Ovis aries: one gene and its partner. The protein of the gene in region 2 purifies or fractionates together with the protein of the main gene of each other region. This does not show direct contact. Links are inferred from orthologs where the notes say so. Each region holds a gene or a part of one and is shown on either strand. Other genes may lie near its edges.

Region 1 (4,076 bases), on a different chromosome or scaffold from region 2:
CTCAGATGATGTAACTCAGTAACAAGCAGTATCCCTTTTTCACACCCAAGTGAGAGCACTCCATTGGAAGAAAAAGGTTTTATTTTTCTGTTTTTGTTGGAGGGGAGGAGGAGAGGGCTAATGAAAAGAGTCAATTTCACAGCATGAATACTCTATGAAATGACAGATCTGAGAGAAAGAAGCTTTGGGAAACATGAAAAGTGGGCATATGAGGAGTCTGAGATGCTGGAAAATAGAGCCCTTCTAGAAAGATAAGAAAAGAGCACCTTCCTCCACACATTCCCAATACTTAATTTAACCCGGATCTCATCAGGTCGCTGCTTTTTAAGGGTCAAATAGTTGAGAGAGTATTCAGATGTTGTTATCAGACCATCAGATCACCACCTGCTTCCTCCATCTTAACTGCCTACCTAAGTAGCTCTCCTTTCTTTCCACCTGCCACATTATACCGTCTCCAGAAGGCTGAAAGCAAACTGAATCAATTATGTTCACCAGATATCTCTAAGAGTTGCTTGGGAAACTAAGCACATGTCATTTTTGGTGTGCTACATATTTCCCCAGTACTATCTCACACACCATGAAGCTTCCTCCTTGATACAATGTAAAAGACATGGTTTTGGAGTACCACTCTTCAGAGTTCAAAAATCCACTCCACTGCTTGCTCTCCAAAATCTCCTGTGAGAGTTAAAGAAAGAACCAGGAGGTAAGTCACTCAGAGTAAGTAGGAGCTCAATAAATAAGAGCTATTATTTGAGGAGGAGGGATTTTTTTCTTCAACAAAGTTTAGAAAAAAGCATTTTGCATGTTTGAAAGGTTTAAAACAGTACTCTTGTTTTAGTCAGAAAACAGTATCAATCATTTTTCAGGACAATACTCTCCCCTCAAAGTATCCACCATCTAAAATCTTTGATAAAATAAATGGTAGAAAAGATTCATCCCATTCCCTCCAATTCTGAATGAACCCTTGAAACCATTTCATTATCATTTTTATTTGGTTAGGAAGTACAGTACTAAGTTTCCTGAAATTACCAGCCATTCTGCCTAAAAATTCTAACAAGTTTCTCAAACAGGGTAAGACAACGGTAGATACTGGCAGTATTAAAACACAAGCTAGAAACCACATATTCCTCTTTTCAGGAGGTTCTACAAAGACAATCAGATGATAAATATTATTTCTTTCAGTTTCTACAATCTGAATTTCTCTTTATGAATGACTCCTGAGGAATTCAACAGCTCCATTCTGGACCTTTCCAAAAAAAGCTCCCAGGTCCAGAGAAAAACAATTTTTAGGTCTCTAAAATAACAAGGAGACAAACCTTTAGGTCTTGTTCTTTTCTTTAAAAAAATGGTTTTATATCCTAAACACAAAATCAGTGTATCAGAAATATACCAGACCCTCAAAGCCCATAAACCTTCCACAGGAATCTTGCTTAACTTACTTCTCACTTCTTGCTACCCACTTAGTCTTAGGAAATGCTAACACACTCCCAGCCTCACGTCTCTTCAGGGACCCAACCAAACCTGCTATGCTAGTGCACTCAAGTTCCCCAAATCTGACACTGTTTTGTCAAAGAGAAATGCTTACCAACAAACATGTAATATACTAACACTAACCACGTCACTAAAGTGACAAACTACTCAGCCTCACTCCCAAGGGAGGGTAAGCAATAGCCAGCGGGCGGCCAGAACCCCAGGTTTATCATTAACACATCTGCCTAGGCACAAGGTTAGCGGCCGCACCTCCACGGAGCAGCACCAACTCAAGGCGGACCGAGGGATGAATGAGGCGGCCCGGGAGCGGCGGAGGGGACGCGGGGCTGGCCCGGGGAAGGCGGGGCCGCACCGCCCAGGTCCCGCCCCCAGCCCCGCCCACGGCCACCCCGGCACCGCGGTATCGCCGCAGTCCCCGCGCGGTAGCGGCGCGCGCCCCGGACCCCTTCCCGCCGCTGCCTTTTCCCTCTTCGCGCAGCCCCCAGCACGTACCAGCTTTGCAAACCGGGGCGCTCGGGCTCCTCCTCTCCGGGGAGCTTCGGCTGTGCTCCGGGGACCTCCTCCGGTGCCGGACGCGGGCTGGGGGTGGGGCCGCGCTCACCTCTCCAGTCCACAGGTGGGTGGGCGACGAGCAGGGCGACGACACGGTACCTAGTAGCGGCGGCGGCGGCTGCGGCCGAGGGGGGCTTCCGCGGGCCCCGGGCGCGGCGGCGCGCGTGGGGCTAGTGCCTCGCGTGGACGTCGCGGACGCGCCCGTCTGCGTGGCCACCGTGGGGCTGGTGCGCGCGGCCGCACTCCCGCCGCCCCGCGTGGGGCTAGTGCTGCGCGAGGCGGTGCGCGGGGCCCCGCCGCTGCCGCCGCCGCCCGAGGGGCCTGAGGCGCCACCACAGCAGCCGCCGTTGTTGTTGCCGCCGCCGCCGCCGCCGTTGCTCCGCGTGGGGCTGCCATGTTGCTGCTGCTGCTTCAGCTGGAACGGAACCGTCGCCCTCATGGGCTGCAGGCGGCTCCCGGATCCCCCGGCCGTGGCGACCGCACTGCCCCCGAGGGAGCCGGCCGGCGTGGGGGACCCATTGCGCCTCACCCGCTGGGACATGGTCCCCCCTCCCCGGTGACTGGGCGAGACGTGGGGTGGTTTTGTTGTTAGAAGGCAGGGGGAGGATTCTCGAGGCTGGAGGGAAGGCCTCCGCGACGGGGTGACGAAGCCGGAGTCTGGGGTGCTGGGGGCGCCCGGGCCGCGGCCGGCAGCAACGAGGTGGTGCAGCCGTCGCCGCCGCTGCTCCTCCTCATCAACAATAGTGTCTCCTTCGCTGCCCCCGCCCCTCGCGAGCGCCCATTGGTGCAGCGTCAGCCGCGCTCGAGCCACTCCACCGCGCCCATTGGCTGCGAGGAGCTCGGGTCCCGGGCCCCGGGGCCTTAGAGAACCTGGGTTTGCGCGGAGACCGTCTGCTCTTTAAAGAGAAAGAGACCCGCCCCCCCGGGGGGAGGGGGAGCGGAGGAGACAGGCTGTGTGTATGTGTAGTGTGTGCGCGCGCGCGCGTGTGAGTGTACACGTGAGTGTACACGCGTACGCGCGCGCCTGGCCACGCGCATCTTTCCCTTCCCACTGGGGGGAGCCCTGGGGACTCAGATTCTGGAATATTGCCAAAGGGATTGCCCCCGAACCAGAGCGGTCCCCAGGGATGTCTCAAGTCTTTTCCCCCCAACTCATTTCCTTAAATCGGTATTTACTAGCACAGTCTGTGTTCCTGAGTCTCTTTCTGGCTTTTGTTTTCCCTTGATCTTTTTGTTCTATCCTAATTCCATCAACGTCTTGACAGGGTTCAAAGGAAAAGAAATTTAACGAATGTTATTGGCATTTTACACTTTGTCTCTTTTTTAAGCTCTGTAGAGAGCCAAATCTTAGAAAGATTAAAACTGCTGGTTAGAATGCCGTTTTAGATTGTATCAACGAAGTGCAGTAACCAAATGCTATTGCTACATCTCCTGTATCTCAAGTAATCAAGAATTTATTTCAATCAACTACTTCTGAGTTCCCCGATACCTTGGAAAGACGATTGCTGCCTTACAAGTTTGTTAAGTGCCATAGTTTTCAAAGGGCCTATTTTATCCTCACAGTCATTATTTGAGACAGAAGTGGACAGCCATTCATATTTTTGTCTAGTGGAGAAAACAGGTCTTTGTAGAATGGGCAAGAAATCAGTAACACTAGTTCTCAAATAACCTGAAAGGTTCTTCATCAAGACAAAAAAAATAAAAAAACAAGTGAACCCATACCCCACATACTCATTTCCCAAGCTATAAACTCCCTGTCCATGACCTGTTTTCCCTTTAGTACTTTATTAGATAAATATTCTAGACAGATTTCATCCTATAAAAATATGGGAGTGGAGGGCCCAGTTTGATTTGCTCTGGACCTGAAATTCTGCTGGGTCCTATACACTGTGGTGGAGAGCCTTTGAGGACCTAAAGAAAGAGATTCATATTCCAGATCCACAGCATACTCTGTGGCTGGGATAAGTCACCAGCCACTTTCCTTTATCTGTAAAATGCAGTTAAACAATACCACCTCCTTCATACAATTGTGG
Region 2 (3,500 bases):
CCTTTTGAGGAGGATGATTAGGCAGGAAGGCAATCATCTCCAGCATACATCAGGAAGAACCATCCAGAGACTAAAAGCCCAATGAAAGAGGCCGTACTATCTGTTAGTGATTCAAATCACTTAGTAAAATAACTACTTGGTAGCTATAGTAACTCTGTGAAACAAACAAAAAGTCTAATAGAGTTTTTATAGCTGATGCAGCTGATAATAGTTTTACTAACTTTAGAGAACTATAATAACCCAAATACTTACATATCCATTCTTTATATCTACTTACAACTATTAGAAGTGTACTACTGAGAAAAGGCTATAGTAACATGACTCACGGAGAAGTTCTCATTTATAAAATTCAGCAACTTGTTAGATTACCTGTCCAAAGGAACCTTTGCCTATTAAGGAGTCAATTTCGTAACGATCCATCCACTTTTCTCCGTTTTTTACAATATAATCATAGTTATCATCATCATAACCATCGTTGTAAACCTTCCGCTCCTTCTTATGACTAGAATCGTCTCCCTGGCCCTGTTGGTGTCTCCGCTTCTTTTTTGCATAGTAAACCTAAAATGAGAGAATCTAGTGTTAACTGTGTAATTAAAAATCATGAGGCATGGAGTGGCACCATATATATACATACATATCAAGAGTACGTATGAGACAAACCTGCCAACAGTAAGAAACTGATGAACTTTTATTCTATGGAACAAAAAAAAACAAATTTCTATAGTTGCTATTTGAATTACAGATTAACTCTAATATATATCAAATGAAAAACACCTACAGAAAAATTCACTTTAGAATTATACTGTTCATACGTTTTATAAATAGGAAATATTAAGTGAGTAGGCCAGTCTCCCATCAAGAAAAGCAACAGGACCTGATTTACATTTATTTTAAAAACTAAGGTATAATTTACATACAGTGAGCTGGTATAGACCCTAGGAGTGTATAATATAAGGAACTTTGGGAAAACGTATATGCTGATATAAACAACAAATGCTAACCACGCCCCCTTCTAGTCAATCCCAATTTTATATTTGACCCTAAAGCAAAAGATTTCAGAAATGAAAGGTGAAATGTGTATGAACTGATATTTTACTAATATGGGAAGGGCCTCTGAGACAGGCTCGGCTTTAAGCTTATGACAACAAAGTAATGAAAACCAGTCAGGCCCCCTCCCCCCACACTCAAGGGCACTGAAGCCGTGGTTGATCACAGACTGGGTTATTTTCCTTGTATCTGTTTTTCTTATAAAACAGTTTCTAAGACTAGTAAAAAATAACAGGTGGACTAGGCAATAGTTCTGCTGCTGCTGCTGCTGCTGCTAAGTCACTTCAGTCGTGTCCGACTCTGTGCGACCCCATAGACGGCAGCCCACCAGGTTCCCCCGTCCCTGGGATTCTCCAGGCAAGAACACTGGAGTGGGTTGCCATTTCCTTCTCCAATGCATTAAAGTGAAAAGTGAAAGGGAAGTCAGGCTCCTCTGTCCATGGGATTTTCCAGGCGGGAGTACTGGAGTGGGGTGCCATCGCCTTCTCCCAGTAGTTGGTAATTAATGAGGCAATAGTTCAAGTAATTGGTAACTAACTTTGAGGAAATGATAAATTACACTCTATAAAGCAATTATCAGAAAAACTAGTTTACAAGGTAACAGTTAAAAACAAGCTTCAACAAAGCTACTTAGCAGTATTAGTTTATCAGATTATTTTCAGATGACCAAAAACTAGTTTGAAACATCTTTTAGAACATATAAATTGTAAACAAAATCCAACTTAGAAATGTTCCTCATTGAGTTCACTTCAATTTTATCTTGCCACACTGCCACAGTAATACTGGCATTAAACAGCACCAAACTGCTAAGAAATTTATACACACATAAGAACATCTTTTTAAATGGCTCTCAAGCTGGTAGAAGATAAGTCTTTAATGCGGAAGTATGTAGGGCCCCACTGGAAGAGGAAAGAGAGCACAGGTGTGGCCACCCGTCTCTAGAAAAGCTCATTTACTAACTCACTATACAGCTAGAGTTGATGTTAGGAGCAAATACCAAGCCAAAGGGCTAAAACACCAGAAAAATAATTTCTCAAAGTGAAGAGTCACGTTGGAAGATAAGTAATTCATAGTGCTATGTTTTTTATGCTACTTAATCCCACCAAAAAGGCTTTCAGGTATCATACAGTGAAAGGATACAGATAAAAAAGAACACTCATTAAAAAGAAAATTTTAAACCACACAAATATAGATATTATCAGATAAACTAGGCCAAACGCCTGTTAACTGAGCATTAAACACATATCAGAGCTTCCTGACATCTCTGGCAAAAGCAGAAACAGATACATAAAAAATGAAGCAAAATTCTGTAACACTTTCATACTTTTACATTATCACTATTCCCTCCCTTTCCTCTGAAGTTTTGGAGAAGGGGTATTATAGAAATTGTAACTTAGCATGTATTAAATATAACTTTGAAAAAGAAGGGAAGTTACTCACAATTATCTTTTTACAATTCTTGTTTATATAGCATCTTTCTTTTACACAATTATGACACTTTTATCTACAAACCGCCAACCTACCAGTCTTCATAATAGTCATCGATATGACAATCCTTGGGAATTAAAGTAATTTTAATATGTTTAAACACACTACAAAATAACTTGTTTCCTCCACTCTATGGCGAGATAGACACCGTAATAACAAATCAACAGTTCTTACCTCATTAATATGCTTATATGTTTTGATCAAGTCAACAGAAAGTTTTCTCAGGGGAGCAGTAGCTGGATCACGGAAGGTTTGGGGCATCCGCCTCTGTAACATGACAATATCAGGCATCACCTTAAATAGACAGAGAAGACTAGCACTTTAACTATGCTGTGCTGGCATGAACTCCCTCTTCTGTAACCTGTGCATATGCATTTAAAACAAAACAGACATCCACATTAGAACATGAAACATTCACATGAAACATTCTCTCTTGGTCATCTCTTTCAACCGGAATCCAATGAAGACAACCACTGGAACAAATAAATGAAATTAGCAAACAATATACCCAGCTGCGAAGCCTTCAATTTTGTTTCCCAAATTCAACGAGAGGATTACAGACATCCCCCTGGTCCAGGAGACACGCAGAGGCTGCCCCAAAGGGCTTCTCCACTGTACAATCAGCCTAAGGAAAAATTTCTTCTGAATGGTTCCTTCAGCCTGGCCTGGTTCACAACAGGCACACAGCGCCTGCCGGGAGCACAGCTGAAATCTGCTCTCGTGCCTTCGAGCTGACCAAGGAGACCCACCCTCTGCCTTAATACATCCAACGCCCCCTCCACACTCCCTCTGCCCACACTGCACGGCACCTGCCACCACCTAATATCCTGGTATACGTTTACTGGGTTACTGGTTTTAGTTTTTTCTCCTCCTTCCCCTACTGGGAGAACGCCATATGAGGCAGATATAGCTGACCAACGCTGTATTCCCTCTGCCTACAACAGGAGCAGACATACTGTCTGAAA

What was found. Proteins that work in one complex are often made in the same cells at the same time.
Region 1: the proteins of DYRK1A (region 2) and FAM117B purify together in Homo sapiens (affinity purification with mass spectrometry; 8 studies listed by BioGRID and IntAct, counting the BioPlex papers as one, with this or other methods). This does not show direct contact. The link is inferred for Ovis aries from reciprocal best matches to the Homo sapiens genes DYRK1A and FAM117B.

Annotation. Positions count from the first base shown.
Region 1 is NC_056055.1:204,850,230-204,854,305, reverse strand, and holds the start of FAM117B (protein FAM117B), read right to left. Parts: upstream 2,801-4,076; 5' UTR 2,585-2,800; coding exon 1,984-2,584; intron 1-1,983.
Region 2 is NC_056054.1:270,278,945-270,282,444, reverse strand, and holds part of DYRK1A (dual specificity tyrosine-phosphorylation-regulated kinase 1A), read right to left. Parts: intron 2,897-3,500; exon of another isoform or gene 2,830-2,896; coding exon 2,710-2,829; intron 559-2,709; coding exon 370-558; intron 1-369. UniProt on the Homo sapiens protein: Dual-specificity kinase which possesses both serine/threonine and tyrosine kinase activities. Exhibits a substrate preference for proline at position P+1 and arginine at position P-3.